Lonchura striata: one gene and its partners. The protein of the gene in region 1 purifies or fractionates together with the protein of each later gene. This does not show direct contact. Links are inferred from orthologs where the notes say so. Each region holds a gene or a part of one and is shown in the gene's direction. Other genes may lie near its edges.

Evidence for each region.
Region 2: the proteins of LYN (region 1) and ANKRD54 purify together in Homo sapiens (affinity purification with mass spectrometry; 3 studies listed by BioGRID and IntAct, with this or other methods). This does not show direct contact. The link is inferred for Lonchura striata from reciprocal best matches to the Homo sapiens genes LYN and ANKRD54.
Region 3: the proteins of LYN (region 1) and PLCG2 purify together in Homo sapiens (affinity purification with western blotting; 3 studies listed by BioGRID, with this or other methods). This does not show direct contact. The link is inferred for Lonchura striata from reciprocal best matches to the Homo sapiens genes LYN and PLCG2.

The regions. Positions count from the first base shown.
Region 1 is NC_134603.1:39,097,573-39,107,502, reverse strand, and holds the start of LYN (tyrosine-protein kinase Lyn), read left to right. Parts: upstream 1-5,585; 5' UTR 5,586-5,683; intron 5,684-5,883; exon of another isoform or gene 5,884-5,973; intron 5,974-6,134; exon of another isoform or gene 6,135-6,260; intron 6,261-9,930. UniProt on the Homo sapiens protein: Non-receptor tyrosine-protein kinase that transmits signals from cell surface receptors and plays an important role in the regulation of innate and adaptive immune responses, hematopoiesis, responses to growth factors and cytokines, integrin signaling, but also responses to DNA damage and genotoxic agents.
Region 2 is NC_134607.1:23,540,938-23,550,565, reverse strand, and holds the start of ANKRD54 (ankyrin repeat domain-containing protein 54), read left to right. Parts: upstream 1-4,967; 5' UTR 4,968-4,974; coding exon 4,975-5,215; intron 5,216-5,565; coding exon 5,566-5,613; intron 5,614-9,628. Other genes in the region: EIF3L (eukaryotic translation initiation factor 3 subunit L), read right to left, coding at 141-312, 1,154-1,227, 1,910-1,979, 3,272-3,333, 3,588-3,667, 4,249-4,459, 4,539-4,587, 4,664-4,696. UniProt on the Homo sapiens protein: Plays an important role in regulating intracellular signaling events associated with erythroid terminal differentiation.
Region 3 is NC_134615.1:19,329,393-19,339,339, forward strand, and holds the start of PLCG2 (1-phosphatidylinositol 4,5-bisphosphate phosphodiesterase gamma-2), read left to right. Parts: upstream 1-6,090; 5' UTR 6,091-6,159; intron 6,160-9,676; 5' UTR 9,677-9,714; coding exon 9,715-9,910; intron 9,911-9,947. UniProt on the Homo sapiens protein: The production of the second messenger molecules diacylglycerol (DAG) and inositol 1,4,5-trisphosphate (IP3) is mediated by activated phosphatidylinositol-specific phospholipase C enzymes. It is a crucial enzyme in transmembrane signaling.

The DNA.
Region 1 (9,930 bases):
TGCCCTTGCACGGCAGCAGTGCTAACAATGGGCCAGTGCCTTTCCACGGGGAAATTTTCTGTAGCAAGTAGCTGATCCTGGAAAAGGAAAGCTACTCTTCAACAACAGCCCACTGTGAAAAAGCCTCCAGAAACAATATGTTGCTTCTGAACTGGCAATTTCTGTGGTGCAGGACCTGCAAGACACAGGCTGAATGCTTGTCCAGGCTGGCAATAGGAGGTGCAATGCCCTGAATATAAGGCAGAAACAAAACAAGCAAACAAAAATATCCCCACTGTGTGATCTTGCTAATTTGAAATGATCACACATACCTGTTCCTGGATTAGCTCAAATCTGTTCTTTCAGGCAATTCAATATTAGTGATCACAGAACTGTGTACTAAATTAAGCATTAATTAAACACATTCTTTATTAGTGTGGGCAGTCTCTTCAGATTAATAAGGATATCTGTAAATGGCCACAAATGTTTAAAAGAGGAAGACTCTTGGAGTCACTAGTTGTCAGCTCAACCTTCTCATTGCCTACCCAAATGAATTGTGAAGAACACATCAGTCCAGCTGCTTTTCTTGCCTCTGTAGGATGATATTCTTGAGAACCACAACAACCTTTTATTTGAGCAGTCATTTCTACAGAAAGGCAATTGGGATATTCTGTAGTGCACATAGGCCAGTTTCAACTTCCATCAGAATACTCAGGATGCTGTCCCACCAACACAACCTAGTTCAATGCAGATGGTTGTCAAACTGGCTTCCAGTGTTGGGCCTGCTTTTATTCCCTAAATAGCAATTTTTCCACTCACAGCCATTAAACAAGTGGAAACAAAATGGGAAATATGTCTATGTATAAAACCACATAATGGCAGGTGAATAAAATATTTAAATCAGCAAAGATGCAGAAGAAGCAGCTTTTACTAACTTTCAGAATTAGAGGATCTCAAGCCAAGAGGATCTCAAGCCAAGTATCTGCTGTATTATTATGAGTTGTTCATGGAAACTGGAAGTAACAAGATGAAATAAAAAAGGCTGAATTCAGGATTTATGGCCAGAAAATATCAGTGTAATAAAATGCAAGTGGCTGTGCTTTAGGCAGATCACTGTCTACAGGAAAGATGCCAGCTTTCCCAGCTTTAGCCTAGTTAGTATGTGTATTGTTAGTCTGAACAACAAGTCAAATGAATGTTGAGTCAAAGTTTATAAGGATTTGTGCATTATTCCCCAAAATGTTTTTAATATTTTCTAAAATTTTAATCACAAAATTAGTCAAGATTGTAAATTATTGTGTGATATATTTCAAATAATCATAATGGAACTACATTTAAAACTAAGATTTTGGTTTTTTGTTTGAATTTCTCTTTAGTGTCACAAAACTTAATTTTCCCAGGCTCCAAACTGGAAATAAGAGCAGAAACTGATAAATATCCACATATAAGGTCCATTAACTTGTTATCTCATACTTGATAATAAAATTTATTTTCTATTTTTTTTTTTAACAAACAAAAGCAACCCATCATTAGGACATGAAGGGCATATTTAGAATAAAATTTATACATATTCTACTTATAGGTCAACATTACTTTCTTTAAAATAGTAGGTTACAATAAGAAAGGAAATTATTAAAAAAAATAATGCTAAAGAATATACTGCTTTTATTTTCTCCAGTAACTCTGAGTGAAGAATGACTGCATGACTTGTATCTCATTTTTTTTAAATCCACTCTTTATTACTTGCTAAAAATTTGCTACATTATTATAAAGCATTTTGACAGTATGCAATTTACTTAATGATAATGTCTTGAGATAAAATTATGAGAGAAACAGTACAAGTAGTGACTGTGTAAGTGCTGGAATTTCTAAAGAAAAGACATTTTACTGTGTCTGCTGTGACTCCAAAACTCTGGCTCATACAAAACAGCCAGATGTCTAAATGTTTCAGCTTTACATGTGTCCATGCTCTATCTTTCCTTCCTCTTTTATAAAGAACTTAAATTCTTACAAATCTATTTTTGAACAAAGTGATATTTCCTCTGTTTTTTCTTTAATTGAGTGAACTCAAGTATTCCTTGGGATCTCCCACTAATTATTTCCCTGGTTATGCCATTTATGCTTTACTGTCTATTTTTTAGTCTTCTATTAATGCTCTGCTTTTGTATTCAAGCATACCGCAGAAAGAACTCAGCAACAATGAGATTAAGGAATATATAAAATGTAGAGAGAAGTTTGTTGCCTGTTTTCATTGTCCATGACAAAGTTTAGTTTACTGCCCAGAGTCACTGTTCCCTGCAGCTTGTGCCTCTTCATGCCCCCAGACACAATCCAAATAGGGATCAGCACAGGTATGTAGAGGGATTGGTGTGAACCCTACAAGGCTCATTAAATCACTGCCCAACCAAATATCATTGGACATTCCTCTGAGTCTACTGACAAATTGCTCGACTCTTCCCTGGCCCAGACCACTTACCACTCTCAAAAAATATTCCAGAGCTGATCTGAAAGTTAACGTGGTGCTGTGGTTTAGCTTCAGCTGGCAACTGAGCACCAGGCAGCTGCTCACTCAGTGCTGCTTTCCCAATGGGGTAGGGAGGAGACCTGGAAAAAGGTAAAAACTCAGGGGTTGGGATAAGAACAGTTTAATAATTGAAACAAAGTAAAAAAGAATAGTAGTAGTAGTAGAAGTAGCACTACTACTACTACTAATAATAATAATAGTAATGAAAAGGAGAGTGAGGGGGGGGGGGGAATAAAACCCAAGAGAAACCAAGTGTTTTCCAACAGAGTTTCTCACCACCCACTACTCGGTGCCCAGCCCACCCCCAAAATATGACCAGCTCCCTCCTGGCCAACTTCCCCAGTATATAATAATATATATGATATATTTAAATATGACAGGATATGGAATATGACAGGTATGGAACATCCCTTTAGCCAGTTCAGGTCAGCGCCATCCTGGTTTCTGGTGTACCTGCTCACTGTCACAGTATGGAAAACTAAAAAGGCTTTGACTTAGTGAAAGCATAAACAACTAAACTACAGTGTGTTACCAACATTATTCTCATACTAAATCCAAAACACTGCACTGCACCAGCTAATAAGAAGAAACTGAGCTCTATCCCAGCAGAAACCAGGACACATGGGCCATTCTGGGGTCGTCCCCATGTTCTGGATGCCAACAGCATGGACGTGGACCCCTACATTGCCAGCTGGCCTTCATATTGGATCACAGCCTTGCAGCCATGCTTAAATCAGCAGTAGAGACATTGTCTGGGAGTCAGATCTTTCCAAAGTGGGAAATCAATTGCTGGGCTTGAACTGGCTGGCTAATGTGACTCACAGTCCTTCCTGCAAGGACTTCCCCTTCAGTGACAGGCTTGAGGTTTCATTCTTGCCCCATTTTACACCATCCCCCAACTCTCTTGATCTATGCACATGTACATTTAAAATGTGATGAACAGCTGACCTACTGTAGATGTAGTGAGGCTGGAATCAGCTTTTTTTTCCCTTTTGATGAATATATAATGAGAGACTTCCTTTCCTGCTTACACTTTCTAAAGTAGATTTTGTATATATTTGTAACAGTGGGAACAATGATACATAAACCCATGACATTTCAAGGGATACTAACAACCTGTCTTTTTAAAAAAAGTATAAAGCACAGTGTATTTATTCTACTCTAACACTTCTTCATATTAGTTCCTTTAGGGCAAACCTGATGAGTTTGTTCTGTCTCACAATTTACTATTGCACAGCAATCTATTAAAGGTAATTCAGCACGTCTTTTATTTTTCCAGATTATTTACATTATAGATAGGATTGCATTCTACTTGACTGCTGGAATCTATTATGCATTTATGAAACTAAATTTTATTTTCACCAATGCTTTGTTAGGAGAAGGGAATATTAAACTCAGCAGAATACTTGATAATGAAATGAAGATATAAAGAGGAAAGGAGGGCGAGCAAGACAGATGTGGGATTTGTGCACTACTTCTCCAAGAAGAAAGTTACAAGATCAAAATGCTTGTCCTATAGAGGAAAATGGAAACATGAGGCACTAACTGTGCACTTCAGAAATAGCTCATTTTACATAAACTTTTGGAATCCAAATTTCCTACCAAAAAGAAATCCCCAAACCCAAGACAATGTATATTTAGTCAGATCTTTCATTTTTACATAAAGTTTTCATTGGGAAAAAGGTTGTTGTCTGGTCTGTTCATTTTATTGTTGTTTTTTCTTATTGTTATTGTTATTATGAAATATCTTTACCTAAGTTGGGGCAGGGGAGAAAACATTTACCAATTTTTTACTTAAAAATTGGTAAATGTTTTCTCCCCTCCTTGAGGAATTCCTTATTGTCTCACCCTACAATACTTTTAGAGGTTGGTCTAATGCTGAGTATTTCCACATTATTTTAAACATTGATGATAAAATTCAAAGAAGACCAGAAACTATTGCCCACTACTTTTCAGAGCTCTAGAGATGCCCAGGGACATCTGGGACTGATTAAGAAATGTGACAAACTATGGTCTCACTGCTTCTATGGACTGAGTCTTCTAGAGGATCAAGGCAGACACCTGTGTGCTGGAGCCAGGGTATCAGACGGGACTGCAGCAAACACCAACCAGTGTGCAGTGATTGTGCCAGCTGCACATCACCAGGAGTGCCAGGCCTTTACATCAGCACCAAAGATCTATAAGTTAATTGACATGAATCGGGTTCTCCTCATGAACCCAACAGGGTGTGACCCGCACTGAGCTATTTTCAGCTATTTGGGTGTCCTGTTAGAAGTCCTCACCAGTTCCTGAGTCCACTCCAACCCACAGTTAGGCTGTGCTGGTGGACTTTGGGAATGTGTACAGAGGTGCCTTTGAGTGTCTTGCATCTTGTAACACTTTGACTCTTTCTCAAACTCGATCCATTATCTAAACACTTCTATATGGAAAGCTTAAATGCTTTTCATTTGAAATTCTGCCTTGGAAATCTCCATGACCTGAACTCGCCCATGTGGCTTGGCAGTACACACATGACACTTGACTCTAGTTATTGTAAAGCTTTTCACCTGCATCCTCTGGCTGTTATGTCCATGCATTCATATTTCCTGTTTTCCTGACCTGTGAGATTTTTATTTCACTTTTCACCAGGCTAGTAAATCATTCTTGAAATAAAATGAAACATTGAAAGATAAGCTTACTTGTTTTGTTTCTCTCAACCAAGCCTCCAATTGACCTTAGAAGCTACTTAGAGTGGATTTGTGGAGTTCAAATGGTTTTTTGGCTGTTGGTGGAACAAGAGAGCTTTTTTTTTGCCTATCAGACTAACAGAGTTTTATTTTGCTGTAACTTTCCGAGGCTCATGATGGCTCGCTCCCCTCTGAGGCAGCTCGGCGGGGCGGACCCCCGACACTCCGCCGCAGCCCCTGCCCCACCTCGTCCCCGGCACAGCCTCCAGCCGGAGGAGCCGCAGCCGCCGGGCCGGGGCCGGCCCCCGCTCTGCCGCTCGCCCGCTGTCCACCACATGCAAACGCTGCCCGGCAGCAGGAAGTACCCGGGCTGCGAGCCTCCCGCGGCCGCGCCCCGCCCGCGCCGCGACAGCCGCGCTCCGGCCCCGCCGCTGGCGCCCGGGACAGCCCGCTCCGCGCCCCGCTCCGCGCCCCGCGCTTCGCTCGCTGCCGCGCAGCTTGCGCACCCGGCAAAGTAAGTGCCTTCCCCCGGGAAAGTAAGTAAGTGCCTTCCCCCGGGACAGTGAGTGCCTTCCCCCGGGACAGTGAGTGCCTTCCCCCGGGACAGTGAGTGCCTTCCCCCGGGAGCGGCGGTGCCCAGCGCCCCGCTTCTCCCGCGGGGCTGCCCGGCCGCGCTGCCCCGCGCCCCCGCCCCGCCCCGCCCCGGCGCGGAGCGGAGCGGAGCGGCGGGACCAGGCGCTTGCCGGGCGGCTCTCCCTCGCTTCTGCCCCCGCAAGGAGGTGCCGCTGCCTCTCGACCTGCCCGGTAGGACTGGATGGGGTCTTAAGGGAAATAACCGCGTTTGGGATAAAATAATCGTTCTCAAAAGCATGATTTATCTCATACTCCTTTGCCTGGCTTCTGCTGTGATCCGGAGGGCTCGGGTGCCTTCTGGCTGTTTCGTGCCGGGGAGCGTGTGAAATTACCCGGTTTAAGTCCGCAGTCGGCGTTTCGAGCCAAAACGATAGCCTTGACTGAGGTGAGGTGATGTGATCTCTGGGTATCCCTTCTTACGCTGCTTTTTTTCGAGGAGCATAATTTATCGTGCATTCTGCAAGTTAAAGCTTCTTCTTCTTAAGTGTCTATTCAAATGTGCTTGGAATTAAAAGATGAGGAAATGGTGTTGTGATGCTTGGTGTGCAGTGTTTCTTGCAGACTGCTATTATAGGTACTGTATTCCTAAGGAACAGTCTTGAAGTGTTTTCTCCTTACAATTTTAGTTTAGGAGGTGATGCTGTACCTTCAGTAAAGCAGTTAAGAGTTTCTGTTAAATTACATCTTTCAAGTGTTTGCAGTGAATGAGTTGGCACAAACTCATCTTGCTGCCTTGCTCCCCTCTGTTGGCAATAAAGACCAAAGGGATTAACGCTTAAAACTTATTTAGCCAGGTCATATTCCCGCGGATATACATAGGAAGAACAAAGCTAAGCTTTATCTGAAACCTCTAGTCAATATCCCATCTTCTGCCTTTCGTTCCCACCTTTGAAGAAAGAGAAACACTCTGGACAATCTTAATGTATTTTAGGACATCACAGTACAAATTGAAAATTAAAATTTTTAATCTGGATCCCATCAAGTACCTGTATGACTTTTGCAATTTAGGAATAGTAATGTTAATTGAAAGTATCTGTGAAGTACAAGTGCCACGTGGATAAGTCTGCACTCAACACAGTATCACTATAGAGTTAAAACAAAAAGCAGAAGATACGTGTTGAGAAATTGCAAAGCTATGTTGGGAAAACATAGCTCAATTTTACCAAAAGGAGAGTCAAATTGTGTTTGTGTCGATAGTTTCCAACCCAACACTGAGGACAGAATAGGTGTTATCTTTTTAATACAGACTATCAACAGCATTGAAAGTATGGATGAGAAAAAAATCAAATCGTTTTCTCTGAAAAAGTAGCAACAGGCTAGAAATCAGTTAGATACTGTTAAAAGGATGTTATGAAGCCTTAGAGAAGGGTTGAAATTAATGAACTGTGAGATCAAAAGATGTCTTGTTTTATGGATCTCTTCTGAGATTTAAAGCTTTTTCCTTTCTCTGTTTCAACTTTGTGAGATACAGACTAGTTAGGAAAGAATTCTTTACTTAATAACATAAAAATCTGTTTTAATTGTGTGCTGTTCTGATAGATTTTTTTTTTAACCATGATGACATAGAATGATTATCCTTGTACAGTAGCTGGCTCACTTCAAGTTATTCAGCTTTTCTCCATTTTTGAGTAAATAAGAGGTTTTTCTTACAGAAATGTACAGAAGACATGGTAAGGTTTAGGCCTTCCTTTTTAAGCCCCTTGACCCTTGAGTTGTGCAATGACTCTGACAAAGCAATCAATTGTGAAACTTTACAATGCAAAGTTAAACCCTGTTGCCTTTAAGTTGTTCAATACTATGGGGTTTAATGTTACCCTTTTCAAGAGAGTTTCCATAAATGTGAAACTATTCCTTGCAGGTGATTATGAACAGGTATTTATGAATGTACAAGTAACTATTTCATAGTACTTTCCCCCCGCCCAGTTTATCTGTGTAATTGAAGTGACCTCTCTTCCTATGGCATTTTTGACTCCTATAAGCTAAATGGCATCACAGAGCAGCAGGTGTTGAGGGAAACAATTCCTGTGACAGGCAATGGAAACAAGTCCAAGGTCTCCTGGCTCAGCTTAGTTCTGTTCTTCAGTGAGTTGTCTCACCAAATCAGAGATGCTACACCTGGCCCTTCTTGTGGGGCACGTCAGGGAGCATCATTGGCCTCTCTGTAGTTATTTGGGAAAGTTTAAGTGATGCCATATTTAATCTCAGATGTGATTCCATTGCTGTCACAAAAAGGAGATGTTTGCCTACCTCTACTCTGAATGTTATTTTGAATCTTAATAGGAATCTTTGAGATTTTGGGATGAACACATGTTGATCAGAAGGCAATTTTATTTTGTTCAAAGGGCTAGGTGATCTGGGAAGGGGATGAGATCTTTCCTCCTTTCCATATGTGCATATCCTGAGTAACTGAGTGACAGTTTTTTCTTCTGTCTAAGGAGTTGTAAAACCATTTTTACTCTTGGGGTTCAGGGAGCCCTTTTCAAAACTGAGTGAACCCCGAAGATAAGTTCATGGGGAATAACTAACTAACTAACTTACCTAACTAATTAATGGGGTGGGCATTAGGTATAACCTAGGATTCCTGGCAATCTGCTGTACACAGAGGGGGATGTCTCATGGCACAGAGATCTCAGAAGAATATGAGCCATCATGTGCTAATGCAAGGGATGGGAGGAGAATCTGTCAGCTGGGGATCCTGAGAGTTCTGTGAGCTTTATATGCAGGGAACGATACTTCCTTTCAAAGCTATGGAGCCAAGTGTGTAAGTAATTACACCAAACCATGTGATCTGTTAAGCAGCATTTGTTATAATATTGCCTCTGTAGGATTTCCGTCTCTAAGCAAAAAGGCTTCATTCTATAGAAAAAACAGTTTCCCAGCTGAGAATTAGGATTTTTGTCCTGTTGTTCATATTCCTACTTCCTATTTCTCCCATTTATTTCTCTCCCTTCTTTAATGAGAGTATAGGAATGCTAGAGATGGTGTAATAAGAAAAGCTTCCAGACTTGCTAAGCCATGCCACAGGAAACTGTAGATAAAAATGTAAAATTACATTTGTATGAAAACAGTCTTTAATGACGCATGCAGGGTGAAGGAGTCTGCCACCCTGTAAGCAATAATGGTGCCTTCTCAAATAAATTAGCCTGTACTAATAAAAGACAAATGCAATGTCACTGTCCTCAGTGTGACTGTTCCTAGTTTAAACTTCATTGTCCTTCAGGGAAGGATGGAAAGGTCTGTGCCTTCATATTTATTTTTGCCTGATTCAGATACATTTCCTGTTGACATTGTCATTAAATGCTGTAATTTCCGAGACTGAATTATTCACGTTTGAGTTCAGCATCTTTCCTGAAAAATGTGGGTTCATGGAACAAAACACGAACGCAGAACTCATCATGTGCTGGAAGCATTTCCTCCAAATATTTATGGGATACTTGTATTTGCTTTGTGCCTTAAAAAACTACTCATAGAGGTAAATAGATCAGTTACTTTTGTCAGGCAAATGTCAGAAGAGAAATGGTATTTTGACAGTAACACTTTGCTGGAGAGAAAATAAAGGAGGACACTGGGGGAAGGTGGAGGAAATAATGGGTAGATCTCATTTCTCTGGTGGGTTAGAAGAGTGGACTAGTTCTGTCCAGGCCAGCCTTTGGTCTCCCTTAAGTCAGCATTGCCTATTTTTTTCAAACTGCTGGCATCTTATGTATCTACAATTGGTTCCTGTGTTTGCACAGCACACTTGTCTTACGTCTTCAGTTCAAAGGACTCCAATGATAAACAGTCTCAACAAAGTGAACTTCTTCCTCTATGGTCTCTGCTGCATGTGGCAGAAGGTTTCTTCTTCCTGTGGTTGACATATTATAGAATTTCTTGCTTTAATTTGCAAAGGCCAGCTGTGATAGGAAATAGTGCAATCGTAAACTGGAACACATAATAGTTCTCCAAAAGTGTTGAAGTATGGGATGCAGCTACTCTTCTGCAATAGCACTTCTTGCAGGTTTCTCTATTATTGGGGGTCACTCTAAGCATGGAAATGATAAAATTTTGAAAGGAAAGGACTCCCTCTGGGATGTGCTTTTAACTTCTCCTTTGTTGGTTTAAAAAAAGAAGTTTCAGGAAGTTGGTCAA
Region 2 (9,628 bases), on another chromosome or scaffold:
GGCCAACAGAACCAGTTCCCAGCCAACCCATCCACTGATTATGGGTTTGATCCAGCTCCCAAACAAAGTTAAGCAACTTGGGTCAAATCAAAGCAAGGCAGCACAGACACCAATGCTGTTTGGCACCTCCCAAAGCTCACCTCCACTTGTATAGACCTCCAGCTGTCGGTTGATGTTGGATTTGTCAACTAGAGAGTGCAGCACATTAAGGACACTGTGGACATTCCAGATCTTGGGGTTGGAACGAAGGAAATCAATTTCCTCTTCAGACTTTTTGGCTGTTTTACAGCGGTACTGGCTGAAAGACTGGAACTACAGGGAAAAGCAGAGATTCAGTGATGACAGCTTGTCTGGAGATGCTCAGGTAAGTGGACTAAGCTTTCAACTTGCTCCTACAAATGCATTACAATAAACTACAAGTTGCATGGAAAAAGAAGTTTCATGTGAGATCACATGGAAATTAAAATGGCAGATTATACCACCTTTAAAGCATCTAAAAGAATTACACAGTATAGACAGAAAAGGCCAGGAGACAATTGAAGCAGAAAAGGATCTCTGAAACAACTAGGAAAGGCAATTAAACACAAATTTGCTGTCTCAACAGATAGAAAAGAGAATGACCAAATTACAATATGTGTTTGCATGCATGCATCTTTTCCCTTATATGTACACATCCTTTTTGTTCTCAAGATTGACAAGACAACACTTTCAGGCAGATCTATAATAAAAAGTTACAGAAAAGGGAATATATTCTTAGAAGAGAAAAATCAATAGCATTTGAGATCTGTACTGTTGTACTCTGAACAGTAAGTGGAAAAACATTTCTTAATGTCAAGACCTCAGACCACAGCTTATTTCAAATCAGATCATCAATCTCTCAGTGCACACATAAGGGCCGTACTAAGAAAGACAGAAATTTTGTTCTGAAAGACAAATAGGCACAAAAGCTCAGAACTCCCCAAAGAGCACCCTGTAACTTAAAAATCTGTACAACTTCTTCATCCACCTGGCAACACGAGAGTAACGGTGATCACCAAAGATTTTCAACTTGCAATGGTACCCTTGCTATGGAAATAATGGGAAGAAATGGAAAATTTATATAACTAATAAAGGAAAAGACACCCCAAAATGGCCCAGTTTTATAATCACATACCTGGTATATGAATTCATCAATGATATCCCAGAGCCACTGGTTGGGCAGTTCCAGAGGAGCAGGGCCATCAGCATCTGCAGGAGAACAGATGAGAGGGTTAACACCTTCAGCAAGAACACTGTCAGAACTGGAGGAATAGTCAAATTAAACAACACAAGAATTTCCTTGAAATGGGAGTGGGGCAGCAGATGAACGAAACTTTCAGTAGGGCTGAGATGCAGCTTTGACTACCTCGACTGCCTTCACTTTCAAAGACTATGAACATGCACAGGGTTAATCTCTAGATTGTGACTGCTCAGCAGCATCAGCTCTCAGAAGCTGCACAGACTGCAGGGGTTTATCCCAACTGATCCATTCTCCACATGAGGCTTTGCAGGGAGTCACAAACACTAACATTTGGTCCAAGGGGAGTCAACAACAGTAAACAGTTATGAAGTTTTCCTTACTGTAAGTTTTCATTTTACTTTTTAATACAGATAGGTGAAGCAGTTCTCAGCAAGAAAGAAAGCTAAGTAAGTTTTATTCTTTACAGTATTTCAGAAAGCACTGGAAACTAATTCTGCTTTTTGTGGTTTTAAATTCATGGATTTAAATTGCTCTTCATTCAACTCAAACATGCAAAGAGCTTATATCTTTCCCTCTATTACTTATAAAGAAACATGTTGCTGTTCTTCTGACCCTTTGTCCAGCTCTGTCCTCTCCATCTGATCTTTCTCTCCAAAACTCACAAACCAGAAATTAATTGCAGCAACTCACTGAGAATGTAGTTGAAGAGATTGCAGTAATTGTAATAAGACTCAAATCTCTGCTCCAGCGTGGGCCCCCCCTGCAAAGAGAAGTCAGCAGAGTCTGCTTCAAATCAAGCAGGGCAGGAGGGAGTTCATGGGCAACAGCATAAGGACAGTCACAACAGTAGAGGGTCTGGTTCAGGAGTGCTAGAGCCAGTATTCAACCAGGACACCCACCAGCATCGCCCAGAAAACCTGTAATTGTAGCACTGCTGTCCCACAAAATAGGGATGGCTTTTCCTGTATAGGCAGATTCTCCCAGGATATCAAGCAGTCAAACATCCTGTGAATATTCTGCATTAACCTTCCCTGCTCCCCTCTGCTGTTCAGATTCAAGAACTTCACTATTCCTTCACCAGCTTTCCTTCCTTCTCTGCTCATGAGAAGCCTTAATAGATGAACAATTCTGTTTCTGGACATAATTCCTAGACACTTGACCTACTGGTTCTTGTTTCAGCTGGAGACACTGAGTCTGAAAACCACTAATGGCACAGCTTGAGAAACCAGTTTCTCCTGCTGAAGTTTGGCTTGGGCACACAGCAGGCTTTTAAAAGTGTCCATTTCTCCACCCTCTGGTCTACAATAAAACTGCAGTTATTACTTATTTACCCAAAAGTCATGCATCTGTTGAGACTTTTTCCTTTAAGAACCAAGTACTATGACTTTCTCATTGATTAAAGAGACTTAGAAATAGGCTTAAAAAAGACAAAGTTTGTTTCGTTTCACAGAGCACTATTCTTTTCATTTCCTTCTTCTCCATCCTTCATGGTATCCATGTTTCCCTTTTCATAAGGCACTCTGATCCCATATGAGGATTTTTATGACAAATAATGCACCTTCCTCTTGTGACACCCCTTCTCACTGCCTGCTCATTTGAAGAGGAAAAACAAAGAAACACACATAAGCAAAAAAAAAGGAAAATTCAGTTACCTTCCAACACCCCCTTATTCCCTAACTCACTAACCATTACATTTGCTGTTAGAAACAAAGAGCCTCCTGAACACTCAGATCCAGTCTCCTGATTCATCTGAGCTACCACAGAAACCAGCACACTCATCACCACCAAGCCTGAAGAGACAGCTAATGAGCCTCAAACAGACAATCAAGTCTTTCTTGCTTTTCAGCAGTCAGTGAATCCTTACTAAACTACCAAAAGCAAAAATTTTAATCTTCCCTAAAATCAGTGTGACTTACAGCTCATGAACCCATCCAATCCTGCCTTGCAAAGGTTAGGGGACCACTGATACTGTAGGGCAGCAAGACTTGTCAAGTTTGCTGGCACAGAGAAGCCAGCAAGCAGCCCACAAGAAGACACAGGGCCAACACTCACGCTGACTTTGGCGTAGATGTGCCTGTAGTACAGCTCCTTGTATAGGATCAGGAAAACTGCATCTGGAAAAGACAACATAAGAGGACATTAGCAAGCCACAAGGCCTAGAAGCCTTCTGCCAGAACAACGAAAGGAAGCACAAAAAGACGCTTCACTCAAGTCTGACTTCTTGCCAGGCATCTGCTGAAAGAGCTGCCAGAGTGAACAAAGGCGACCGACTCAGGCAGCAACAACGCTGTGCACCTGATAACTCAGGGTCAGGAGAAATTCAGTTCCTTCTCTCTCTGACAACCCAACAGAAAGTGGAAAGACTCACCATTTCCAACCTGAGGAGCAATGGCCTCAGCCTCTGGCCATGGAGTGTTCTTAAAAAACCTTTCTGTCAGTTTTGTCCAGCTGAAAAACAGACACACATGAGGTATGAAAATCCACGTTTCACTCAGTATGACAGTGCTGGAGTCAGAGATGACAACAGAGAGAGGCCTTGGACTTGATGAAAGCTGAGCAGCACCACCAACCCCTGCTAGTAAATCCAATGTTGAAGCATACCATGAGAATCACAAGCTGAGCAGTAAGATTGCAATTTATCTCCCAGGCATGAAACAGACATGTACGTCACTTCCACACTCCCTTTAAGTCAAGCTGCCCCAGCTACAAGCAGGAGTGGAAGCAACCGTTTGGAAGAGACACAAAAGCTGTACCTCAGGTTTTTGCAAACTGCCAGACTAACACCACTGAGAGCCCTCTTTGCAGCCTCCCTCCCTGTTAGGCCAGGGCTGACACTTCCCTTCAGACAAATCACAACTCGTCTATACTCACATTGGCCTAATGGGCTGGTAATACCAACGAATTTTTTTTCACAGTTACCAAACAAAACCCGTTTCAGAGAAAGCCCAAGTTCGGAACAGCACAGGTAGCAGCCTTCCCTTTTAACAGCATCACAAGTTAAAACAGTGATTTCCATCTGTTGGAAGTACCTGTTCTCATAAATGTCCTGGATCTCGTACACCTTCTGGTCAATAACATCACTGGAAACGCGGCTGGCCTGGAGCTCATACACCTTCTGGTCAATGAGATCTGACACCGTCTTGTGAAAATACTGAATGAAGTTTTTGATCACTTCGGGGATCACCTGGTAGGTCTGCTGTTCGTACTGGCGCTCGTAGGCCAGGTCTTGCTTGGGGTCTCCTGCGGAGAAGGAGGAGCAGTGAGGCAGCGCCGCACGGCCCGGCCGGGGCGCAGGCAGGCGCGGGGCGCTCACACTCACCCGTGTGCATGTCATAGTCGTTGGAGTAGGCGTAGGGGTCGTAGGCAGCCTGTGGGGAGAGGGCGGCAGTGAGTCCCCGCGAACCCGGCCCCGAGCCCCGCGCCCCCCAGGCCCGCGGCCCGCACCTCGGTGTCGTAGTCCTCCCCCGGGTAGGCCATGGCGGCGGCGCGGCGCGGACAGCGCTGCGGGCGGAAACGCGGGCCTGGCGCGGGGGCGGGGCGAAGGGCCGAGCGGAGCCCTTCTACTGGCCACAGCAAGTGCCTGTCTTCACCCGGGCGGGCCGGCCGCCCCTCTCTGTCTGACTGGGGAAGGCAGCTGCCCGTCAGGCTCTCTGGCCCCTGCCCGCCGCGCCTCCCCGCCCGCTCCCTGCCCATTGGCTGCACCGCGGGCTGTGCCGCCGGTGGCGTCCCGCCCCTGCCGGCCCGGCCGTGACGGGATGGAGGGCGGCGGGGCTGGCGGGGCGCCCGCCGCGGGGCCGGACTCGGAGCCGGGGCCGGACTCGGAGGCACAGCCGCAGCCGCGCATCGCGCTGCCGCCGCTCGGAGCGGACGCACCCCTCGGTTACCTGCACGTCCTGTGGCAGCGGGAGGAGCCCGCGGGCAAGATCCCGGCCCGCCGCCTGCGCAGGGCCGCCCGCCTCCACCGGCGGCTGGGCCCGACGGGCAAGGAGGCGCACGGTGAGCGGCGGCGGGGAGCCGCTGTCCCGCGGCCGAACAGCCGCTCTGCGGCCCGCCCCGCTCGGGCCGCGGCAGGCAGGGAGGGAAGGGAGGGCGGGCGGCTCTGTTCCGTGCCCGTCCCTGCCGGGGGAAGGCGCCCGTCGGGAGCGGGCGGGCCCGCAGCCCGCTTCGGCAGGAGACAGGAGAACCATTCTATATCCTGCTGTCCTGATCTGCTTCCCATTCTCTGGAGCCGGTAGCAGCCTGATTTGGCCCCCCGCGTGTGCTCGAACACCGGGGTGGAACGTGTCTGTAGGGAAACGTGCCTTTTCCCTCTGTACTTTCCAGTAATTGCTTTCTTTCCTCCATAGCTCTGAAAAGGCTGCGTGAAGCTGCCAATAGCAACGATTTGGACACAGGTAAGGCTTCTGTCAGTCCCACTTGGGACCTCTTCTTGGAAGGGCATTATCTCAAAGGCTCTTACTCCAGGAGAGGAGGAAGTGGATGCAGATAGTTTGTGGTCAGGGTGCTTTAGATGCTTCAGATGTAGAAAAGGCTTTTTTAAAATCCAGGTTTGTTCTCCAAGCAGAGTGTGGCTGGTTATTGTTTTCACTTTTTCATTGCACCTGGTTCATAGTGTTAGTTTTCCATCTGCCTGGGCCTAAATCAACGCTGTACTGTCCCAGCTGTTTTGGTATGTTCTTTTGCCCAGTTGTTAGCAGCAAGAGAATAATGTTTTGATTTAGGTGAAAAAGTTATGATTACCTAAGCCATACACTGTATGATGAGGCAGTGTGACCCAGTAGATTAGAACCAGGGCCAGAGCTGGACTCTCCTAGTTTCTGCAAAATTCCCTTGTGATCCATAAATTCTGCTTTCCAGATGTCCAACCTCAACACTACATCTTTGTCTCTCAGGCTTTGTTAATTGAAGCATATCAGAGTTAGTTTATCAAAACTTAAAGTCTTAGTAAATTTTGCAATCTGTGCTCCTACAAAATGAACTTAATGACAACTTTGCTAGATGCTGGCTAAGAGTAATAAAAGAATAACACACAATTTATAATGAATTAATATTTATTGATTATGACTAAACAATCTAATTAAAAGGTAATTAAAAACATTAGCTAAAATTACTAAAAAGTTCTGACATTTCCAAAAATTTCCCCCTTTGGAAGTGATCTTAATTTTCCTTTATGATTACTTGCACTTAAATTGTTGAATATCTAGCAAAACTTAAGACATCAAGATGCAAAAAATTTGCTTGTATTTTGTTATAAGATATCATAGATCATTAATTCCGAATGAAATTCTAAATCGGGGTATTATCTCTTTTAACAATATCTTGGTAACTTCTCTTGCTTTGTTGGTGCAAGTAGCTATCCAAAAAATGTGTCAGCTAAAACCAATATGTATCAATATCCTTCTTGTCGAGGTAATTCAGAAAAATCTGTTTGCCTATAAACTCCAGGACAGTTTTCTCTTTTTATAATCCCTAAAGGAGGTCTTTTGTAGGGCTGTGGATTGTGTTGCAAACATATACACTTACTGACTACACTTTTAATTCCTGGTATTTTTACACTAATTGCTTGATGTTTCAAGTTGTCTCTCATAGCTTCTGCTCCCCAGTGTGTTTCTCTGTGTTTATCTTTTCCTGCTTCTCTCATCACTGCTTGAGGTACTATGTTGTTCCATTTCTCTTTCTTTTGGCAATATAATATCAACTCTAAAATACCATTTTGGTGTCAAATACCATGAACTGACCATTTTCCTTGATTATCTAATAGATACTCTAGCCACCAGAGAATACATTATGCTATTACCAGTTAAAGAATTGCTTTTAAATTCTTTCCAGTGCTGCAAAATGCAACCTAAAGGCAAACATTTGCGTATACCCCTCTTCCCGGGCTCGAGAAGAAAAAGGAAAGCCCACAGTAAATAGAAATTCCAGCAATGACAAAAACACGACACGAGAGAGCGCTCTGTGCACACCAACATAACCCCAGTCAGCTAGGAGGAGCAGCCGCTGTTCTAACGCCAGGAGAGGGCTCTGAGCAAAGGACCCTCGCTTTAACAATTTACATTACCCAAAACCAAACACTTAGTACACACCAAGTACACTAAAATTCACAGTCAACATACAATGGCTTAAACACTCTTACAGCCAATGAGTTTTCATACAGACTCAATTTATGCTTATGACACACGTTAACACACACATTTTCCAACACTAACAGATACCATAGGCTTCAATAAGCAGACATATCTGGGCAAAGCCCTTCCACAACGTGGCTCTTCATGCAAGCAGCACTGTCTGACTAATTTATGGGCAAAGCAGAGGGTGAAGACTCAACACCTTTTGACTGTCACTTATATAGTTTTACAATTAGAGTTTTCCAACTAGACAGTGGGACTCAAACACAATTCCATTAATATTCACTTACAGAGTTTTACACTAACTTTAATAGAAAATAGCCAATTATATATCATAACTTTCTTAACTCTTATTATGTTAGAGAGTGCAAGCTTATGATTAGGTATACCTTTTTAAACCTTCAGTAATGTCTTAATAAACTCCCAGGATTTTTTGCCTTGAACTTGCCTGGATCAGAGGATTGAACATTTTCCCTGAAAAAAGTCTTTCAGTGTGCACCAAAGTCCTTGTTCCTGTAAGTCTGTGGAACATCAAATGCGTTGTCTCACCTGGGTCACCAGTAAATTGTTACTAAATCCTTCTAAATTGTTGGGGTAAATAAACCCCTCTAACATTTTCTTTATAGTGTTAGTGCGTAAGATGTTACGTTGTTGCTGGCCAGGAGGGATTTTTGTGGCTCACAAAATTCTGACCTCCACTCAGACTCAGATATAAAACTTCTTCACTTATTTATATTTTTTAGCAAACAAATAAATGAATGTTCATTGGTTGTAAATTGCATAATTCTCTTCTATTAATTAGTACGGTGTCCTCTGTGGGGTATTGATTTCTTGCTTCTCATGCTAGCTGGTCTATATTTTTAGTCTTTTTAGTATCTTTCTCCTCTGGTAGGGACTTTCCAACACATACACTGAGTTGGAAAGTCTTTGTTAGTCCCTTATTTATCTTCTGGTTTCTGCACAGTCCTTGTGGTCCATAAATTCTACATTCTAGATGTCCAACCTCAACCATACATCTTTCTCAGGTTTTGTTCATTGAAGCATGTCAGAGTTAGTTTATCAAAAGTTAAAGTTCCAGTAGTTTCCCCAAGCTATGTTCCTACAAAAGTACATTATGACAGCTTTGCTAAATACTGGCTAAGAATAATTTAAGAATCACACACTGTTTATAATTGTATATATAGATTATGATTTACTAGAGCTATTAATTTAAAAGTTAATTAAAATCACTAACTAAAATTATTAAAAAGTTATATCATTTCCAACAGGGAGATGAAAGAATGCAGTTTTATGTAAGTCTTGGTTTCAATCCACCTTAGATTTGATAGACAGTTTCCCATGTTTACAGTCCTCTTGTGTTTTGTTTTCTCTGCAGCTTGAGGAAGTGTGCAATGATTAATTTATTTTTCAGCAACAAGTAAACATCTTTGCTGTTTCCTGTGGTGGCACTGGGTGGAGAGGTTATGTCATTCCTACTTGGTTCAGGGGAAGAGTAGCTAAAGTGTTCCAGTTAATGGTTCTCACTGGGGCACTGTCAGTCTTCCATTCTTTCTTCTGAAGTGTCAAACATCCCATGTTAATGCCACTTCCATCATTTTAGGTGTTCTTGTCAGTTCTGTACCACACTTGAAGTAGGATGTGTACAGGAAGAAATTCAGAGGTGGCTGTAATTCAGTTTCTGGAAGCTGAGATGAATGGTGACTTTCAGTGGCCTGAAACAGTCTTGACTGTTGTAGGATATGCTGTTTGAAGATTTCAAAACACTGTGAACCTGTCAGCATTTTTAACAGCTATGGAATGAGCTCTTATTTTACACACCAGATAGTATATCAGATGATCTCAAAACAACAGAAGTAGCAGCCCTTACAGATGCCTCTAATACATATTGCTGTAGGTGCTATTTTTATGCCCCTAATCTTTCCACCCTTTACTGATCTCTTTGCTCAGCTCTTGGCAAGTTGGTACATTCCCCTGCTTGCTTCCCAAACTGTGGCCACCATTGGTTAGGAAGGGGCATAATCAAAACAGGTGTGAAGAAGTGGCTTTTCTCACTACCTGTGGTTACGCTGTGAAACTTCTCACCATGAGTCCATGTAAATGTCAAAAGTTTACACAGGTGCAGAAAATGACCATGTAAATCCACAGGGAAAGCCCATGGAGGGGTAGTGAGCACAGGATGCTAATTCTAGCTTGGGAAGTGCCTGAGATGCAGCTGACTAAAACCAAGAGTTTTTACCACATCCTTCCTATGCTTTTGTATTCTTCTTTAGGTATTGGCTGC
Region 3 (9,947 bases), on another chromosome or scaffold:
TGGTTGTTTTTTGTTGTTTTTTCTCTGTAGAATTAAAATCTTGTGTCTCTTTTTAAAGCATCTCAGAGAGTGTCTAAATTCAGATTCTCAGTCAAATGTTAGTGATTGATGTTTACAAACATATGGTGTAGTTTCTGAGTTTTTCACAAATACAATCTTTGGAGATGTGAAAGGATTATTTTTTAATATGATAAGTGAAATAATAGGATTCTATCTATATTCATTTTTATACACACACACACACACATACACACACACGTATCTATCTGAGATCAGCAGCCATATGAGGTTGTTGATATCTGCCTGAAAAATTGTTCTTGCTCCTCTAAACCAAGGCTCTTATGAAGCTACAAAGGTAAATTTGCTCCTCAGGATACTCAGAAATCTCTTATTAAAGATCATGGTTGTAGATCACCCTGTACCAGCTCCTACCTCGATCTGTTGGCACACAGGATCTCTGTTGGCACACAGGATCTCTAACACTGCTTGTTGAAAAGATGCTTATCACAAAAAGTGGAACAGAAGGTTTTGACCCTTTTACGTGAGTCACTCAGTTATGACTACAGTGCAGAAAGATAACAGCAGTTGCAGGAGTGATTTGCATTCTATACAAATATGCTGATCCTGGAGATATAACCAGATGGATGCTTTTCCAAGGCACAGGCATCTGGGAGGTGTATCCCTGTAGAGTATCTCTCATTCTATCCCTATTCAGAAAACATCACTCAAGGATATCATTAATTGTTCAATCATATTTTGATTTTAGTGGCATTTTGACACGTGTTTTTACATGACAACATGCTTATCTGCATTAGGACCAGTGTGCTCTTGCCATCCCCAGAGAATTCTTGTGCTTTGATTAACTAGAGGGCTTTTCTAAACTTTTCTGATGTAGCATGTGTCAGATTAAAGCTGATCTATGCATGAGTGAGCACAGATGCAAGGAACTTCTCCTCCCTTCCTGTGTGCCCTGAGGGAAGGCCTTGCACAATAATAAATCCCTGCAATCAGCCATGTAGAAAGTAGAGAAAGACCTGGCCTATCTCTATTTTATGATCCCAGAAAAGCTTCCACCGGCAGTAGCGAGAGCAATGTTAAGAAGGATTCAGCAGAATGGTCGGAAAAAGGAAAATGACCATGGAGAGAAAGAAGCCTCGGTGGTGTTCTGCTCACACTGAGTCCCCCTGGGACAGGCTCAGAGCTGAAGGCTGAGGTCAGCCCTGCTCCTTGTGCCCAGCCTGCCTGAAGATCCCTTTCCTAAACCTCTCCAGGCTTACAGGGATAATGAGTGAGGGCAGGAGGCTGAACAGATGGTAACAGAGCCTTTTCTCTCCTCAACTCACCCGTGGTGCTACTCTGTAGTGGGAAAAAAATGAAAGGCTGAAAGTTACCTGGGGGGAGAACTGGACTGTTTCTTGCTGAGTTACAACTCACTTAATTTGAAACTATTGTCAAATTGTGTTTTTTTTCAGTCCTTCCCACTCAAAAGCATATTATTTTTATGAAAGATTTTAATGTAATTGGCTTAAAAAGCACAGGAGAAAAATGTCTCTGGTTCCCTGCAGAGTCTTGTGCAGTTTTCCTTTTCTGCTGAGGCCTTGTAACAATGGTATCAACTCGTTGATAGTACTGGTAATGAGCTGCTGGCATTTTATCACTGTGGATGTAGTGACTGCAATATATTCATCTGAAGGTGGGATTGCAGGCCCTTTTTAAACGTACTGGTGTTTTCTGTGGTCAAAGCTGTCTCAAGGTGCTGAGTAAATAACTCGTTAGTGTGTGTCTAAAAAAATGCTCTTTGACACTTATTTCAAATATTTTCACATGTGTTTTTTAAAAGGTTTTTATTGAGCATCCCAAACCACACAGCAGAGTTTTCACTTGACTGAGACTTTTGAAAGTATAACTCTGACAAATGAAAAGGTTTCTTCTGGCACAACGAGCTTTGCTATGAGGAAATGCCATTCCAAAGTCAGGACATTAGGATAAAACCTGGAAGCAATGTTCTGCCCAAGGCATGTAACTGCTGTGAGATCTTTGGCAAACCTCCTCACCCTCTGGGCCTGGTGCCTTTGAAAATGTGATATAATGATTTCCATTATTTTTTAAAATTGTTTTGACATCTACAAATGCAAATTGTTACAGAAATTGTAAGGGACAGCACTGTATTTTGTGTATGAGGCCAGTGGGCAGAAACTCCTCAGAAGATTTTTTAAATGCAGATCTTGCAAATAAGAGACAGGGTAACTGAACTGAGGAGTAGCTCAGCTTTTGAGGACTCAGATAAACATTTCAGCAGGCAACAGGCCAGCCACTTATAAGTACAACCTCCCTTCCTTCATGTCAGCTTTTTTGCTAGTGACCTTAGTAGTTTAAGTCAATATTTACTTTAAATATTATGATTAAGTGACAATAATTTACCAAGATTAAAATGCAACTCTGATAAGAATGGAGCCAAGTATACACTAAAACACTTTCTACAAGAGATTGTCTTCAAGGAGCCTGAGTTCTGTTATGCTGAGAAGATGTGCTGGGGGTGTTGGACCTCTCTGTCACACTCTGTGATGGTGTTGAAGGTGGATCTGTAAAACTCACTATTTTAATTGTGCTACTACAGCTGGACATTGCTCTCAAAGGTCAGCTTCATGCTGCAAAGGTCCTTTGAGCCAGTAAAGATGATCAAGGCTTCCCAGAGTAGCTGAAGCTATTGCCATGAGGAACTCAGGTGGCAGAGGACTGCTTTGGGGACATCCTTCCCCTCCTCCCTCCATACTACAGCAGTTGTTGCTACTCAGCCTTAAGTATGAGAGTTCTCTTGACAGGTTTAAAATCAGCTTGAGTCCTGCAGATGAAAAGTTCATAAAGGCAAACCTTAAAAATTAAGTTTTCTTTATGAAACATGTGGTTATAGTTTTGCAGCTCTAACCAGAAAATCTAGCTGAGCTAACATACATCCTGCTAAGGAGTGCAGAGACTCTGGTGGTTAGTAAATCCTTTGGCTACAAAATGTCTGTGGCAGTCTCTAAACTATTTGTTCCTCCTGCCTAATCACTCTTTAACATTTTTTACAATTGATGGGGTAAAGATTTTCAACATCTGTCTTCTGCACAAAAGCTGTTTTTTCTTTGTATCTCCTGTGAGGAAGTGGCACCAGTTTTGTGACCATTATTTATTATATCCACGAGACTGCCTAGCCAGTCCTGTGCTTCTCTTTCATGCCTTGCTTTATTCTTCAGGGGAAGCAATCAACACTTCATTCCCAAATATAAGACAGGGTTGAACTTTTCAATGCTGTAATTAAGAGAGTGTTAGCATGAACACTATAAATTCCCTTTCTGAGGGATTTATGACCAAAATATAAAACTATACTCCTAGTTGAAAAACTCGCTTTTCAGTATAAATAGTGATATTTTAACAATTTAAGGGGTCTTTAAAAATTTTAGGAAGGAAGTTAAACTGAAAAGAAAAAAGAATAAAGGAAGGAAGGAAGATTTTATTCTAGTGGTTAACCTTCTTCTTTTTAAACACACAGGCTTTGCTGGGGCAGATTCTACAACTCAGAGACCTAATTTTCCCACACCTGTTGTCAGCATATATTTCCTCAGAGAAAAAAAGCTCTACAGGCTTTTTTTTTTTCCTACAAAAAGGGACTGGAGATGTCACCTGATAATTATCTGTGACTATGAGATCCATAATCCTTACAGGTAATTATGTTGTCTGCCTGGAAGTTCTCACTTTTGAGGTTTGGTAGTTGGACAGCAGAGCTGCTGATTCTGATAATAACTCAAATCTGTTGGGATTGTGTGGAAGTCTGAATATTCTTATTTTGGGTGTAGTGAATGTGCTGAGTAACAGCTGGTGTTTGTAAGAGTTACTCTTTTATTGTTTTGGGTTTAAGGATTCCTTGCTCCATCTGAGATTTTGTTACATCCAACAATTTACAGGATTCAGTGTTATGACTCTCTTCAACATACATATTTTCTCTGGCTATATAATGAATCTTCAGCTTTAAGAGCATTTTATCAGGTAAGATTAAGGTCATACAAGAAATGCTGGGAATGGGCAGGTTTTTTTGTCCTTCCAAAACACCAATGAGGCACAACCACAAGTATGTTCAGACCTAAGTTTATCTTTGCAGCAGTGTTTTAACTTCTGCAGCACAGCTTTAAATACCATAAAGATGAGCAGCTCTGTGCCTGTGTGGCTTCTGGGTTGTTCAAGGGTGGTTCCTGTGCTGAAGCTGTGCCATATGACTGGTGAGGAGGCTGTTGGTACCTGTCCAAGCGAAGCAGAACCAGGAGGGGCTGCTGGGGCTGGTATTTGCTGGAACTTGGATTCACTCTCAATGGACCCAGATGACTCCTGGATCTGACAGCTGACATGAAGTGAATACTGCCATCTCCTGCTTGCTAAATGCCCAGGATCACCTGCACCCTTCAGCTCTCTGGTGTGGATGAATGTTTGGCTATTAACTTCTGCAGCTGGGGAAATTGGCTGCTTGGTTCTTGCTTTTTGCCACTGCTCACATAATTTCAAAGGCAGCTTCAACATGAAACATTGAAGACTTTAAAAATGAAGAGCTAAAAATAATGTATGGCAGAGACACCATGGTGTGATTAATACATATTCTTCTATTCTCACTAATTTACTGCCATGGTTCCTGTTAGATGCTGTTCTGTGATTTGTAATGGAGTTGCACGTTATAAATAGAGAAACTTTTCCCAGGTTAGACTTCTGGAAAGATGTGAAAAATATTCACAGAATAGCAAACAGTGATAAGATTGCAATGATCATCTTTTTGTTTTGCATTTGAAATGAACCACACCTTTCCCAGGTATTGGGTTTCTTCCTTTTGTGGTGATATATTTTGAGTGTGTTCTTTAGTTCTTTTTTGATAGGTCATACTTATTTGAAACCCTTTGGTACTTTTGAGCATGATAAAAGCTTGTTAGTTTGATTTGGGAAGAGCTTCCCAAATTGCTCCTACACAAGAGCTGGACACACTTGACATTTTCTTCTCCTTCTGTGTAGGGAGAAGAAGCTAGGGAATATTTTTGGTGGCATTTGGTGCAGAACATCATTGCCAATATCATTTTGTTTCAGTAGTTTCTGCAAGTATAGGGTGAAAATATCAATGTTTGATTACTATTCAACTATTTATAATGCTGACTAAAATTATGGAAAACTTTTTTCCCTCTCAACAGAGTAAATTAATCTGTTAAAAGACCTATGCTTTTCACTCCCTTGTGCCAGTCACCAGTATTGGAGGGAGAGGAGATGAAGAATTATCTCCATGAAACTTAACATCAGTGTTTGGGAATCAGCATTTGGAATACAGGACCTGCCATTGTAACATGGCACAGCCCTTTCAGAAATGACCAAGATCTTCCCTCAAAATGCTGTGGCATCCCTAGCTTTGGTCTCTGGGCATTTGTTTTGGTGTCTGCTGAACTGGCATGACTTGCTCCCTTTGATGACCTTGTCTTCATGCCTGTGGGTGTAGGAATTTCCCCCAGATTTATCAAATTGGTCTGGGGCAAGACCGATACATCAAGGAATGGTTGTACCAGGGCTTGACCTGCAAGCAGGGTGTCCTCCTACCACTATTCTTCTGAGTCCCAGTCTGGGAAACACTTTTAGCACTGCCACTCCTAAACTGACGTGCGATACAATCGTAGCGGATCACTGGGAGTCAGTTTTAACTTGACTTTGAGATCATTTCAGCGACAGTGAATCCGCCCAGCCTTTTCCTACGGCTCAACCACCCTCCTCAGACGAGCAGAACCCCAGCTCCGAGCGGCGGGACAGCCGCCCTGGCGGAGGGGACCGCGCCTCAGGGGGCCCTGCGGGACAGCGGCAGCCGGGGGCCCGGACAGCAGCCCCGGGACGGGCAGAGGGACGGGGCGAGGAGTCCCAGCAGTCCCGGCCCCGCTTCGGCGCTGCGGAGGGCGCGGGAGGGCAGGGCCGGTGCCCGAGGGCTGAGGGCAGCCCCCGGGGCAGCCACGGGCGCGCGGGCGGCCGCGGGGCCAGGTGGCGCCGCCCCTTCCCGGTGACGGCAGAAGCGGAGCCGAGAGGCGCCGCGGGAGCAGCGGGACGGCAGGGACGGCAGGGCAGGGACGGCAGCGCCCTGCCGCCGCACGGAGCCCCGCGGCCGCGCAGGTGAGGGCGGCCCCGCGGCAGCAGCAGCAGGTGCCGCGGGGCTGGGGCGGAGCGGCGAGTCCGGGTGAGGGAGGCTCGGGGAGGGCAGGCGGGGGATGCGCGGGTCGGGCTGCGGCGGAGGGTGAGGGACAGTCGTGCCAGTCGCGCTTGGGCTGGAGGAGGGGACGAGGGGCTCCCTGAGGCGGCCCCGCCGCAGCCCGGGGTGAGGGAGAGGAAGGAAGGAAGCCTCGGCGGTGCCCGAGGGCAGCGCGGCTCTGCCCGGTGAGGGCCCGGCCTGCCCGGGCAGGTGGCACCGTCTGACCGCTCCCCTGCTCGCCCCGCCGGGCCGCAGCTGCAGCACAAGGGCTGTGCATCCATTGTTAATAATTATCACTGCTGTGGTACTGCGCTGCTGTCACTGGTGCCCGTCCGGCTGGCGAGGTGATGTCCTAAACCCAAAGGAAGAGCTCCTGGCAGAGGATGCAACAAAACTTTTGCAATGGCCAGAGCACATGGGAAAATTTAGAAATTGACTGGAGACAAACTTTGGACTGCACTTCTTGGTTAACTTTCTGTGTCTGGAAAGCACCTGCTGTGTCATGTTGGTAAAATTATAACAGACCCATCAGTGGTTATCTGAGCTATTCTTTGCTAGCTGCTGTGTTTATAGCTTTCCTTTTCTAGATTTTCCTCTCTGTGTTATCATGAAGAGAGTTATGAACTGTACACTGATCTTTTGCCAAGAAGGGTTTGCTTGTTAAAGTCTGAAGTAAATGAAGTAAAACTAAGTAGACAGGGTAGATTAAATAAATTTGGATTTTTTGGTGGGTTTTTTTTTTAATGTCTGTGTTCACTTGGTTACTTGCTTTGTGTCTTTTAGACTTTTTAGTTTGAATTAGTCAGGCTTTTCAATTAAAACCTATCAGAACAGGTATTAAACAGTAACAAATCATCCAAGTTTTGCATATGGTACAGGACACCTTCAAAATTTACCTCCTGTAGTTCCTACAGTCAAAGGGAAAGTGTCATGGCTTTGTCTAAGCTGAAGCTTGTGGCATATTTTGATGATTATTAACTCGCTTGCTGAGTCCTGTAAGTGATGCTGGATCTTTCCAAGTAAGGCTTCAGTAACTTTTCAGCAGAAGATCAGTGATGCTTCTGTTCCACACAGCATCTCGTAGTTCACACTCTGCTGGGTTAGAGGCATCCAGGTAGCAGCTGATGAAGGTCATCACAGAATTCTGCTGCATGAATGGGTAGAAAGGCTGTTAATTCAAATAGCTGTGCAGTGATGGGTGTCAGGAAGGCTGAGGGGCACCTGTGGGTGAGTGTAAGACAGCTCCTGGTGTGTGAAGGTCTAAAGCCAAGGACTTCTGTTAGTTCTTTTACTATTAGGCAGCTTCATGTGATGTTACTCTTAAAGTGGAGCAGGTAGCCAAAACAGTCTCTAGGAGTGGCCAGTTAGATTGATCATATATTGCAATATTCTTTCCACCTTAAGTCAAAAAGTTGGCTTGTGATTTAGAAGTTAGATTAAATCCACTGTTGTCTCTGGTTTGGGGAGAAAGAACTCCTTTAAAAGGGGAAGTCCAGTCTATTATATTCAGTAGAAACGGTTTAAGAAGCCACCTCTGAGAGGCAGTTCCTTTGTACTAAGGGAGTTACTAAGGGAGTTATCTCTCAGAAAACCTACTGTGTTGCCCTTTATTAAACAGCTGTATTTAGAAACTTCTTTTCGTGTTTTTCTGAATCATATTTCATTTAACAGCTGTACTTTGTACTGTAAAAGGCAGAGCTGATGTATGTTTTTGCCGCGCAACTCCACATGTTTTTTTATCATCTCTTGAAAAACTATACTAATTTAAAAGTTCAGTTTTCTGTTATTCAGTGTAGCACTGCACAAATGCTTAATCCTTGTCACAGATCACAGCATATTTGTTTTATTATGATTCTTAATGAAAAGAGCAAAGTGAGAAGACAGGGTTTCTATTATTTTTTTGTTAGAAAACAGACACTGTTCAAAGATTTTAATTTCATTTTTTATTTTTCTCTCCTTTCATTTCTTATCTTAACAAGTCATTGTAGCAAGATGACCGTGGATGTTTTTTTAGGTGTAGGCCTGGCATAATTTAAATGATTACTTGATTATCTTCAGGTAGTCTAAAAGGATCAGTTACATTATGGCTAAAAGTAAACAATAAATCTGCTGTTAGAGTATTTCCAAGTTGTTCACTCCCTCCCAGCTATAGGATTGGGGTACATAAATTTTTTAAATAGTATAAGGGAAGAATACTCCATTTTTTTCTTTACTGTAATAAGACAATATAAAACACCAGATTATGTGTATGTTTTGTAAACTATGGAGTGGTTCCTGCTGTAGAGCACTTCAAGCTCACGGTTGGCAGTGTAGAGGTAAGAAAGGACTTCCGTGGCTTCTCTGTTAACTTGCAAAAAAAAAAAAAAAGTGTTTATTTGAAGTGGTAGAATTCAAGAAGGGATTGGAAAGATTGCACCGGACAGCTTCAAAGTCAGGACGATTGCTCCTAAAGCAGCTGTGACACGATGGTAAAAGGCAATTGAGCGCTGCTAGTGAGAGGGAGCAGCAAAGAGGAGTCAGGAGACAGCGACACGGGGTGAGGGGGCCAGGGCTGGCAGAAGTCACGAAGGGGAAGCGAGAAGTGCCACGGTCGAATTAGCCATGAACACGGAAACTGAAACTGCTTGTGATGGAGAGCAGTGACCTGAGGAGAGAGGAAGAGAAGCAGAGGAGACGCCGTGGCTGGGGGCAGCATGCACAGAGCTGCTTTAAACGTGTCCTGCTCAGGGACCGGGTAAGGGGGATGGCTGGGAGCTGTGTGGCAGCAATCCCTGCGACTTGTGTGACAGTGATACTATGGGTGACAGAGCAGGTTGCAGACCATCCTGTTTGTAAGTAATCTCACTGAGGAGTAATCAGGCTTGTAATTAGCTGTTTGATGCAGTAATCTGGGAGACCAGAGAGCACAGAAACTTGCTAATATTTGTGAGATTTGCTCTGAACACATCTTTCTTTTGGCTGGTTTGTTCCAAGATGTGTCCCAAGTGTATGCACACAAATATCTGCCACCCAACATGTGGGTGAGAAAAGGCAGACTGTGTAGGAGAAACCGAGCCATGAAGTTTTAAAAGTGCAAAAACTGATGTTTAGATGTTGCCAGCACTTCAATGTTTGTATTACTCATGTTTTCCCTTCATTACAGTTCTCAAAAGGACAGTTACCTGCTTTACATTCTTATGTAGATCTCATCTAATTCTAATACAGTGCAAGAGTTTACACACGCTGATGTTGCTGGAACTGCCCTCTGTGAAGACTGTTTGTATCTCCTTTCAGGATAAACCAGCAAGAGTTAATGTTGGCCAGGTACCTGCCTTGCATTTGCATGGGCAGGAGTCTGTGTTAGGTATCTAACTACATTAAATGTGATCTTTAAAGAAATCAAAATGCTGTTTTAAATATTGAATTTTCTCCCTTTTCTTCCTTATATTTTTTTCTCATCAGGACACTGAAGACCATAAAAGTTTGATTATAAAGAAAAGATGCCCAGAAAGACTATAGACTATGGAGTGCTGCCTGAGTATGAGAAAAGCCAGATCAAAAGGACCTTGGAATTGGGAACTGTTATGACAATATTCAGTCTTAAGAAGAGCAGCCCAGAAAGGAGGACTATTCAAGTCATAATGGAAACCAGACAGGTAGCATGGAGCAAGACAGCTGACAAGATTGAAGGTTTCTGTGAGTATTTGCAATGTGCACCTGAACTTGGAGTTAC